3 linked regions of the Mus musculus genome follow. The protein of the gene in region 2 purifies or fractionates together with the protein of the main gene of each other region. This does not show direct contact. Links are inferred from orthologs where the notes say so. Each region holds a gene or a part of one and is shown on either strand. Other genes may lie near its edges.

Evidence for each region.
Region 1: the proteins of Spag9 (region 2) and Nfkb1 purify together in Homo sapiens (affinity purification with mass spectrometry; 5 studies listed by BioGRID and IntAct, with this or other methods). This does not show direct contact. The link is inferred for Mus musculus from reciprocal best matches to the Homo sapiens genes SPAG9 and NFKB1.
Region 3: the proteins of Spag9 (region 2) and Rccd1 purify together in Homo sapiens (affinity purification with mass spectrometry; 3 studies listed by BioGRID and IntAct, counting the BioPlex papers as one, with this or other methods). This does not show direct contact. The link is inferred for Mus musculus from reciprocal best matches to the Homo sapiens genes SPAG9 and RCCD1.

The regions. Positions count from the first base shown.
Region 1 is NC_000069.6:135,614,974-135,618,622, reverse strand, and holds part of Nfkb1 (nuclear factor NF-kappa-B p105 subunit), read left to right. Parts: intron 1-3,192; coding exon 3,193-3,351; intron 3,352-3,649.
Region 2 is NC_000077.6:93,994,685-93,999,033, forward strand, and holds the start of Spag9 (C-Jun-amino-terminal kinase-interacting protein 4), read left to right. Parts: upstream 1-1,406; 5' UTR 1,407-1,586; coding exon 1,587-1,889; intron 1,890-4,349. UniProt on the Homo sapiens protein: The JNK-interacting protein (JIP) group of scaffold proteins selectively mediates JNK signaling by aggregating specific components of the MAPK cascade to form a functional JNK signaling module.
Region 3 is NC_000073.6:80,318,750-80,321,567, reverse strand, and holds part of Rccd1 (RCC1 domain-containing protein 1), read left to right. Parts: intron 1-224; 5' UTR 225-291; intron 292-386; 5' UTR 387-537; coding exon 538-706; intron 707-869; coding exon 870-1,266; intron 1,267-1,354; coding exon 1,355-1,476; intron 1,477-2,226; coding exon 2,227-2,322; intron 2,323-2,473; coding exon of another isoform or gene 2,474-2,541; coding exon 2,542-2,709; intron 2,710-2,818. UniProt on the Homo sapiens protein: Plays a role in transcriptional repression of satellite repeats, possibly by regulating H3K36 methylation levels in centromeric regions together with KDM8.

The sequences.
Region 1 (3,649 bases), on a different chromosome or scaffold from region 2:
CTGCGCAGCCGGCGGTGCAGAGACGTGCATTTCCCTGTACTCCTCGCATTCTATGTGTGCCTTATCTCTTAGCAAGCGTAGGAGAGTAGATGGGTGAGCATGGGAGAAGACAATATTTACAATACTCCAGAGAAAACGCAGCTTACCTTTGATGGGTTTTTAGGCAATTTAATAAGACCATTGTGTAAAATTTTACTAACAGTTTAAAGAATTTCAGGCCAAAGTAACCAAAAGAAAAAAGAAGACTCAGTTATTAAAATTAAAGGTGAAAATCAGGGAAACATTATCAGAGGTAATGGTCAAATCCAAAGAATCATTAGGGCTTTGAAAATATGTATTACAGTAAATTAGAATATCTCACAGAAACGGGTAAGTTCACAGGTACATCTGACCTGCCAGTGTTAAACTAAGAAGATAGAAACAACTTACACAGACCTAAGACAAGCAATAAAATATCTCCCAACTGAAAAATACCCGGTCCTAAATGGAATCATGGCTGAATTCTGTCAGATATTTGAAGAGATAACGTAAATCCTCCTTAAACTGTTCCATAAAGTAGAAAGGGGAAGAATATCAACAAACTTATTTTCCAAAGCCAGCATTACTTTTATACCCAAACCAGGTAAAAGAAGAAAAGAAAAGAAAAGAAGAGAAAAGAAAAGAAAAGAAAAGAAAAGAAAAGAAAAGAGAAAAGGAAGGAAAGGATAAGCCGATTCATACATTCCCAATAAAATAATAGAATGAAATGAAAAATATACAAACGGGAAAGGAAGAGATGAAAGAGCCCTATCCACAGACAATATTGTCCCACACACAAGAGCCCAGGGCTGCACTGGAGAGGCTTAGCTCTGATTGAGGATCAGCCTGCGTCATCACCACACAGACCCCGTGGTTTTCCTATATCGATAGTGAGTGTGTCGAGAAAGAAGTCAGCAAACGCGACGGCCGAGCACAGTCACAGGCATCCCCGATAGCTTCAACATGAGCAAATAAAACTCCTGGCAATAAACTAACCATGTGAAAAGTCCTTTACAGTGAACATGTTAAGACACGGAAGAAGAAAGAGATGTCAATCAATGATGGAAAGGCCTCCCATGTTCCTGGGAGTTAACAGAGTTACTACCACAAAAATATGGCCAAGTGTGGTCTGTAGATTGAATGCAATCCACAATGCCAATACCGTTCCTCCTAGAAAATAAAGTTCACTTGGGACGACAAAAGGTCTCAGGTAGCCAAAGCTATAGGATAGTAAGAATATTTCAGAGGTATCACAGCTGCTGATATCAGAGGTATCATAGCTGCTGATTCCAGGTCACACTACAGAGCCATGGTAACAAAAAAAGCATGGAAGTGGGGTCAAAACAGACGTGTAAATCAGCAGAAGAGGAGAGTCAGAAAGGAACACAATGTAGCCACCTGATACCCGAGAAAGATGCCAAAATGTGCATTAGAGAAAAGACGGGCTGGAGAAGAAGTGATGCCGGTGGGGAACCGGCTAGCACATATAAGGAAGGGAACCAGATCCCAGGCTCCTACCCTACCAACCAATTCAACACGGAGCAGAGATCTTAATGGAAAAGGTAATGGTCTGAAACAGCTAAAGGAAAACATGCAGAAAACGCTTCGTGATGTAGGCAAGCCCTTTCCGAAAAGGGCTCCAGCAACTCAGGAAATAAAATGGAGAACTAGCAACTGAGATTCAAAGGCGTCACAGCAGAGGAAACAGTTTCCTGAGTTGAAGAGACGACAGCCTTCAGTGGGGGAAAGAATTGTTGCTAGCTATGTAGCTGACAGATTAGTATCTAGGTTCTATAAAAACTCAAAAAAAATTAAATTCTGGAAACAAACAACCCAGTAAATAAATGCGCTCAGAAGAAAGAGAGGGTTCTCCAACAATGAGTGCAAACAGCCAACAAATGTGAAAGCATGCTTCACACCCTTAGTCTTTAAAGTTCCTCTGAGGTCCCACCTCACCCTGGTCAGAAGTCATTAAGAAAACAAGTCCAGGAGCCTGCCAAGTAGCTCAGGTGGTACAGTACTTACCTCTTGTGTAAGAAGTCCTGGGTTTGATTCCCAGCACTCCCTACAAACGGCTGCACTCCCAGATGAGTTCAAGGTCGTCCCCAGATGTGTGTAGCAGATGTCTTAGCAGGTAACCCATACAAAGCCTGCTGCCCTGAATTCAGTCTCCAGGACCCACATGGTAGAAGGAGAGAACCCCTCCCCTCAGGTGGTCCTCTACCCTAAACACACGTGTGTTATGACCAACAAATGCAAGAATGTAAATAAGAAAATCAAAATGGAGATTTAGAATAACATGAAGTAAAACTGCATAGACACAGCTATCCACTCCTGCGGATATTTACAAAACTCTAACTCCACGTACTATAACATACATATTTCCCTGCACATATGTGTTTATTTCAGCCATATTCAAGAGCTACATCAAACAACCACCGTAGCTCTCCATTAGCAGATGATGGATTAAGAAAGCATGATATACATGAGTAATGGAGTTTTTTTTCAGCCATTAAAAAAAAAAAAGAAAAAAGAAAGAAGGGCTGGAGAGATGCCTCAGCAGTTAAGAGCACTGACTGCTCTTCCAGAGGTCCTGAGTTCAAATCCCAGCAACCACATGGTGGCTCACAACCATCTGTCATGGAACTCGATACCCTCTTCTCTTGTGTCTGAAGACAGCTATAGTCTACTCACATACATAAAATAAAAATAAATCTTTATTTTTAAAAAAGAAGGGAAGAAAAAGAAAAGAAACATTTGCAGGGCAGTGTATGCAACTGGAGATCTCTGTATCAAGAGAAATAAGCCAGAACAAAGAAGATGAACATCACCTACCGTCTCTCTCGGTTCTAGATCCTAGGTTTTATATAGATGTACATAAGATATTTTGCATATGCGTGCATAGGATATGAAAGTAAGAGGAAGGTACTCCGTTGGTAGGGAGGGGACGAGTGGATATGAGGAGGGGAGAAGGGGCCTTAGGTACGGTCACAGTGCTTGTTCTAGGATGAAAATGTTTTCAGGGAGTTATCCCGATGAGCACTGAGTATATGCCAAGAAAGACTTTAAGGAAGTGTTTCTAGAGGAAAAGAATTGGTCTTTGAGGCCATTTGCTGTCAAATGTTCACACTCTGACCTGCCTGGGCATGAGCAGACTGTTCTCTGTGACCCTAGACAGAGAGAAGGAGATCATCCGCCAGGCAGCCGTGCAGCAGACCAAGGAGATGGACCTGAGCGTGGTGCGCCTCATGTTCACAGCCTTCCTCCCTGACAGCACTGGCAGCTTCACTCGGAGACTGGAGCCTGTGGTGTCAGACGCCATCTATGATAGCAGTGAGTACTCGTTCCCAAGATGGGACAGTTTCATCTAGCTGCATGGAGGGCAGGGCCACTATGTCACTTACTCCCCAGAGCTGAGGCCTGCAGACTGGGACCTAGTCACATAGAGCCTCTAGTTTATTGTCTACAAAGTTAATACTGCAGTCTAGGGTAAAGGGTCAATATCCAGTTAAGCGTCTTAAGAACATGTCTGCCAAGGTAACACGTCTTCCTCAGAGAGTGCATTATATTCCTTACATGTAACACCAGTTTCTTACTATGAACACATGACTGTAAGGATAGATTGCTGGTG
Region 2 (4,349 bases):
GGACTGGTGCCCAGACATGCACACAGGCAAAACATTAGTTCACAAAACAAAACAATAAAGTTCTTTTTAAAAATCGATAGGGCATTTTGAGCTCATACTCAACTAGCTGGGCAGCATTCCTAGAATCCAGACATATACACAAAGTAAGGGTGAGGAAGGGAGACAGGGAGAGCACAAACTAAGGGTAGTGGCGCAGGGGTTCGGGAAATTGTTTTGACAGTTTTCATCTTTGTCCTTTTGCACTGGGTCAACCTCCACAGAGCTTTTGGTGGTTTCCAGGGAGATGGAAGTGTGGGAGACTTTGGGGATGATCTGAAACTTCTAAACACCAAACAGGGTATTTAGGACTCCGGGAGGTAGCCAGTCTTCTCCCTAATAACTTGTCTATTTAAATCCTCTCTGTTCTTCCCATATATTTAGATGAGTCGGAGTCGGTGTATCTGAGTCAGCTATGGCAAAGGGAAGAGGCTTTTGCGAGTGTCTTCCGCCAAACTTGAGACTGGAAGATGAGAATACACGGAAGTAATCTCTGACTCAGCCTGCCCAAGGCTAGGGTGTTGTGGCATTCCCCACGAGTGACGCACTCCCAAGATAGGTGACTTCATGTATCATGGGACTTATTCCACCACTGACTCCACCCCATAGCCTCCTCTGCTTCTTCTCTCACTTCCCAGCCCCACCTCCCTCTCAAGATCAGAGAGGGACCGGTGGTAGTGGCTGCAGCCTAGAACTGTCTTTCTCATAGGCAGGGAGCAGAGGGACCCAGTGTTTGGCAAAATGCAAAAAGTGGTACTCATTTTCCCTTCTCCAGACGCTTCGCTCTTCTGGTTAAGGCTATCCTTACTCTTCCTTAACATCAAAGTGTACTATCGTACTCGAGGCAACCTGATCCTCTAGGCAGTCATTCTAGTTACAGCTTTTTCCCTCATCCACTGTTTTCCTTTGAGTCCAGAATTCTCAGTAGGAAGTAGAGAGAGTCTCGCCTCTGCCTCTTTCCTGTTCTAGCGGTATGACCTTGACTAACCCGCAACTTCCCTGGCCCTAGTTTCTTTGTCTGTTAAGCAGGGTCCACACGTCTGGCGCACCAAGAAGGCGCGGGATGAGCCGTAAAAAGGCGAAGAAAACGCTTGCAGCCTCCTGGGGAAAGTTGTCAGTCTTCAGAGCCCCTCCCTTTCCTCTGGGAACGCCCAGCCAACGCAGCCTCCGGCTGTCACTTCCTCCACCTCTCACCTCTCGGTCCGCGCGCGCGCGGCGCCGGGTGTTGGCGTCACAGCCGGCGCACGCCGCCGCCAGGCCCCGCCCCTCGTCCGCGCCTGGCCTCCCGCGGGGCCCCGCCCACCGGGGCGACGCGGCGCTGGCCCCGCCCCACGGGTGACGCGTAGCGCGCGCGGCCGGGCCGCCCCGGCAGTTGGTGCAGCGGCGGTTGGGGCGAGTGCGCTCACCCCACCCCTCCCCTCCTTGGCCAGGGCTCCGGCCCCCACCCCGCGGGGCCCAGCCCCAGCCCCAGCCTCCGCCGGGCCCGTCCCGTGCGGGCCCGTGCCACCCCTCAGCCGGCGACGCCCGGGGCCGCCCGCCCGCCCGCCACCATGGAGCTGGAGGACGGTGTGGTATACCAGGAGGAGCCCGGAGGCTCCGGGGCCGTGATGTCAGAGCGGGTGTCCGGCCTGGCCGGCTCCATCTACCGCGAGTTCGAGCGGCTCATCGGGCGCTACGATGAGGAGGTGGTCAAGGAGCTGATGCCACTGGTGGTGGCCGTGCTGGAGAACCTGGACTCGGTGTTCGCGCAGGACCAGGAGCACCAGGTGGAGCTGGAGCTGCTGCGGGACGACAACGAGCAGCTCATCACCCAGTACGAGCGGGAGAAGGCGCTGCGCAAGCACGCCGAGGAGGTGAGGGCCGGCGGGGGCGGGGGTCGCAGCCGGGCTGGGGACGCTGGGCGCGCCAGGCGCACCAACGCGCCAGGGTGGACTCCTGAAGGGCAGGCCCGAATCCAGGGCCCGGGACAGTGCTCCGCAGCGTCTCGGGACCCCGGGACACTGGCCGGTGCTGGAAGCCTAGGCAGGCCAGCGAGTGTCCAGGAGAGGGGTGAAGTGGGAGGAAGGCCGGGGGAGGAAGCGACACTCTGGCATCTGAGGGCACCTGGGACTGCCCGAGGGCGGAGACTTGAGGGTGTCTGGTTGCTTCTTGTTTAGGGAAGTTTCCGACCACCGTAGGATAGTCGGGTGCGGGTTCAAACTTTTAGCATGGGGAGGGGCAGTGCTGTCCTGCCCGTGTCAGTTCCGCTGGCTTCGGTACCTTTCCAGGGGGGGCTGCTGCTGCTTTGGGAAGTTAGAGATCTCCCTCTTTCGGTCAGTTTCTTCTTGACATTTAGATCCTCTTGAGAAGGAAGTCTACCTATGTACCCTTTTTTTTTTTTTCCATTTAATTTTAACACTTAGTCAACCACTTAGAAGTCGACTAGCAGAGTCCAGTAAGTACATACAGTACATTCATTTACTTTATTAATGTTCCTCACAGAGGAATGTTCCTCCTTCGTGTCAGGTGGTAACCTTGGACAGTTCCCTGACAGCCTCCTCTATTTATAAAGACTGGGGGGCGGGGTTGAGAAGGTGTGGGTGAGTGTTACAACACTTGTCCTGTCTGCGTTTGCTTTGCATCCTGCAGTTTCTAAGTGCACTTGGCTGGCTCTTTGCTCGAACACCTGAGCGGTGACCTTTGTACTCGTCACCTGAGTGTGTGAGCCTTTTTGGATCCTGGGCTGTAAATGATCCTCTAGCTTTTTGAGCGAGTTCAGGATTTTAGCCTGCAGGCTGAGCGCCCTGGCATTGTTTCTGAAGAACCTTTCTTCGGCAGTCAAAATGCTCTCCTTGTTTTTGTGCCAGACATCTACTGTACCTAGCTAAATACATGGTGATTGAAGGAGACTAATTATCGAAGGAACCACGTGTTGTTTTTCAAAACTACATGACGCGGTAGAAGAATGTGACATTTGTTTGGCAGCTCAGTTCCTAGCATTAAATAGGCAGTTTATTTTGTTATTTGTGCCTCTGCATTCAGGTAAATGATTCTTTTTTTTTTTTTTTAAAGTCATGATTATAGTGGCGCTTTGTAATTGAGATTTTGCAGTCCACCTATCTTAAAGAAAGGCATTGAATTTGCCAAACAAAATTGACTTTATTTCAAGAGTATGTTTACAAATAAACACGGAGGGAGGGTTGAAAAGAAGACAAGGCCACAGCCCCGTTAGTTTCTTGGTTTATAAAACAGATCAAGGCCTTTAAGGTGGCGTGCCACTTGGGTGCCACTTGCCACTGATACAGACTTTTGTCATGATGTGGATGCAGTTGGAAGAGAGTGGGGCCAAATATACACAGATTAGGAGCAAGTTCAATGTAACCTATTACCTCTGGTTAAAAAAAAAAAGGAAATGTTCCCTCCAGCCTTAGCCTGCGGACAGGATGAAGTGCCGAGGTTACACAGTCCAAGAAAACCAGCTGTTACAGGTTACAGAATCAGAAAATAAAACTGCTAGGCTTTGTTTTCTTTATTTTTCTTTATTTGTTCATTTATTTTGGTTTTTCAAGACAGGGTTTCAGTGTGTGGCCCTGGCTGGCTATCCTGGAGCTTGCTCTGTAGACCAGGCTGGCCTGGGACTCACAGAGATCCCCCTGTCACTGCCTACCTAATGCTGGGATCAAAGGCATGCACCACCTCTGTCCGGCTTATATTTATTTAAGTAAATGACTTTAAAAACAGTCTGTTCACTAGGTTTCTTTAACATTTATACTTCTTAGTTAAATCTGTCACATCTCCATAATGAAATGTTTGGGTAGACTCCTGACCTGAGAATTAACAGCACTGATGAGATGCTAGACGAACCCTGCCCTAACCACAAACATAAAACCCCAGCAGCAGCAGCAACAGCAGCAGCAGCAGCAGCAGCAGCAGCACTACTCATGGAAGATGCTAAGCGGTTTTGCCTATACCTAGGAGTTCAGTCTTCCAGGCCAGTGTACAGAGTGGATCCTGTTTAATTCTCTCCCTGAATGCTCAGTGCCTTTAACCCAGAGATTAAGAGCATGTGCTTATAGCAGAAGTGCTCCAGGGAGGGTATTTACAAAGTAATTTGAAAGCATGGTAATTGTTCATCTCTAGAGCATAAAGTAAATTTTGGGTATCTTTGTGGGAACTTAAGAAGGCCTGGGAATGGTGAAGGTGTTAAGGAACCTATGAGGTGCTGTAATCTCTTGCTTGCAGAAATTGCCAGAGAGGGGGCAGGAATGTAATTTCTATTATAATGGTTGTACTTAATTTGAATGTACTCCACTTTTTTTTGCTTTTATTTGAAT
Region 3 (2,818 bases), on a different chromosome or scaffold from region 2:
AAGAGGGCATTGGATCCCATTGCATATTGATTGTGAGCCACCATGTGGTTGCTGGGAATTGAACTCAGGACCTCTGGAAGAACAGTCAGTGCTCTTAACCGCTGAGATGTCTCTCCAGCCCCACCCCACCCCCCAACCCCAAATAATAAATCTTAAAAAAAATTTTTTTTCTTGCCTTGAATACAAGTTTGACTTAAAAGACACATACTTAATATTTCTTACAGCTGTACGCTGGATTTGAGCCAAAAGTAGAAGTGGTCAGCTGCAGACAGTTCAGCAGTCAAAAATCTGGTAGGACCTTTGGCCAAAGCTCTGCTCCGTGGACAGTAGTGGGATGGACTCCGTTTGCCCGGTGATTAGGATGGCATACTGTCTCTATTTTACAGGTAGTGCAACTTCAGCCCCCTGGAAGGCAGGATTTGCCAGCGTTCCTAAGGTGTCCTGTTTGCAAGAGTCTCCTTGGTTTGCAACCTTAATCTTGCATCCCTTAATCCACACCACAGCCAAGTGTCCACCCACAGAGGGCTCAACCTGGACATGGCCGAGAAACGGCACGGAGCCTGGTTCGGCTTTGGTTTCTGTGGCTTCGGGCAAGCGCTGGGTTCTGGGAACAGCCACCATTCAGTGTACAGTCCTGAACCACTGCATGCCAGTGATGATATTTGCCAAGTGAGCGCAGGCTGGAGCTACACTGCCCTGGTGACCCGTGAGTGCCCTCACAATCCCAACTCCAGACCTGTATCATGTATACCTGCCCAACCCTCCTAACATGCCAGTCCAGAAATACCCAACACCCGTACACCCTTACTCGGGCAGCCTCGAGCTTCCCAGGTCCATGGCATGCGTCCCTCCCAACTCTGCCCACACAGGTGGAGGCCGGGTGGAATTGTCAGGTTCTGTGAGCGGTGCAGCAGACGGCTGCAGGGACGTGTGGGCTTCGGAGGAACTCCTGGTGCTGCTACGCAACAAGGGCGGCTCCAGCACGGAAGTGCAGGCCTGGGTACCAGGTTCTGCGTTACAGGGGGAGCCCCTCTGGGTCCAGAACTTGGTTTCTGGGGCAAAGGGCCAAGGGGAAGATGAACCCAGCAGGGAGTCTAGGATGGGGACCCTGCCGTTGCTACCCTGCGCCCGTGCCTATGTGACCCCAGAACCACCCTTCTGCCAGCCTCTGGCCCCAGAGCTGCGGGTCCGCCAGCTGGAGCTGGGAGCTGAGCATGTGCTGCTGTTGTGCGCAGCTGGCCAGGTGTTCTCCTGGGGTGCGGGCAGGTGAGGACCGGCTGGTTGTGACGTGGCGGAGCTCAAGGAGAGGCTCTCTTGGATGGACCTGTAGCTGATTAGGGACGCCTTTGATCAGGCATGGACAGCTGGGCCACGGGACTCTGGAGGCAGAACTAGAGCCAAGACTGTTGGAGGCACTGCAGGGCCTGCGGATGGCTAAGGTGGCTGCAGGTGGCTGGCACTCTGTGTGTTTGAGTGGTGAGTGACTCGGGGCGGCTCCAAACAAGCTGGAGGGCTTGGCCCCGCCTTCCTCTTGCTCTGTTTTTGTGGGCGGTCTAGCCCAGGCCTCATTCCACGCTCAGTCCAGCTCAGTCATCCCTGAGTCTTCAGTGTTTCCAGATTTAGCCTGTTACTCCACCACCCTCTTACACCTCCACTCATCTGGTTACTGCCTGTCTTTGTTACTGAGCTCTTCACTACCCCCATCCATCTAAAATACTCCCGAAGGTCAGCACACTTCTGCAGGGGAAATGGTAAGAGACAGCTCAGCCAGGAAGAATGGAGAAGGCTGCCTATGCCCCGGTAGCCATGGTGGATGGCAGAGAGGTGTGCCTTGGTCCACAGTGTGTGGCCTAGGGCTTTTGTGTATTGGGTCCATCTTGGTGGGAAGGCTGAGACAAAAGAACTTCAGCCTGGAGTTAGCCAAAGAAAAGCTGGGCATGGTAGTTCGTGCCTGTAGTGCCAGGATTCAGGAAGGTTGGGGATTTTGAGGCCTGCCAGAGAGGTACATGGTAAGGTTTGGGAAAAGGGGAAGGGGAGAAGGGGTGTGTATGGGCAGGGATCTAAGACAGGGAAGCAGCGGGACTTGGTATGGGCATCCTTGATGGACGGGTGCTTTAGGGTACCCTTTACTCGCTCCTAGGAACAGGTAATGGGGATGTTTAGAGGAGGTGGGGTGGGTGAAAGGGTCCCACAGTGTGCTTCATGGATTCTCTTGGTCTCTTGCAGAAACGGGGGATATTTATATCTGGGGCTGGAATGAGTCAGGGCAGCTGGCCCTGCCCACAAGGAGTGGGACAGAGAACAAAGCAGAGAGAGAGGAAGGTAAGGTCCCCCTCTAGGATGTCCTTCCCTGCTCATTTACTGTGTGCTGGACACTGAGAATCATCCTGGGATTTTGGCCCTGCACAGCCTCTAGGACTGAGTGAGTAAGGCTTGGGCCCCAGCTCTGGAGCTAGAAAATGGTCTTTTATAGAGCTGGAAGTCAGTATGCGGACTGTTCACATGCCCCTGACTAGTAAACACACTGTAAGCCTTCTAAAGCCACAGAATTGAATGAAGATGGTCTCAAAGAGGAATTAGCTGTGGCTGATGCAGGAGCTCCTGCCCACTTCATAGCCATCCAGCCCTTCCCTGCTCTTCTGGATCTTCCCCTGGGCTCAGATGCAGTTATGGCCAGCTGCGGATCCCGACACACAGCTGTGGTGACACGTGAGTGGGGCTGGCGCAGGGTGGAGCAGCACTTAGCTGGGGACTGCAGCTTGCCATGCCTGCCCATTTTTAATTTTAGAAAGAGTCTCCATTTATACAGAATTATTTT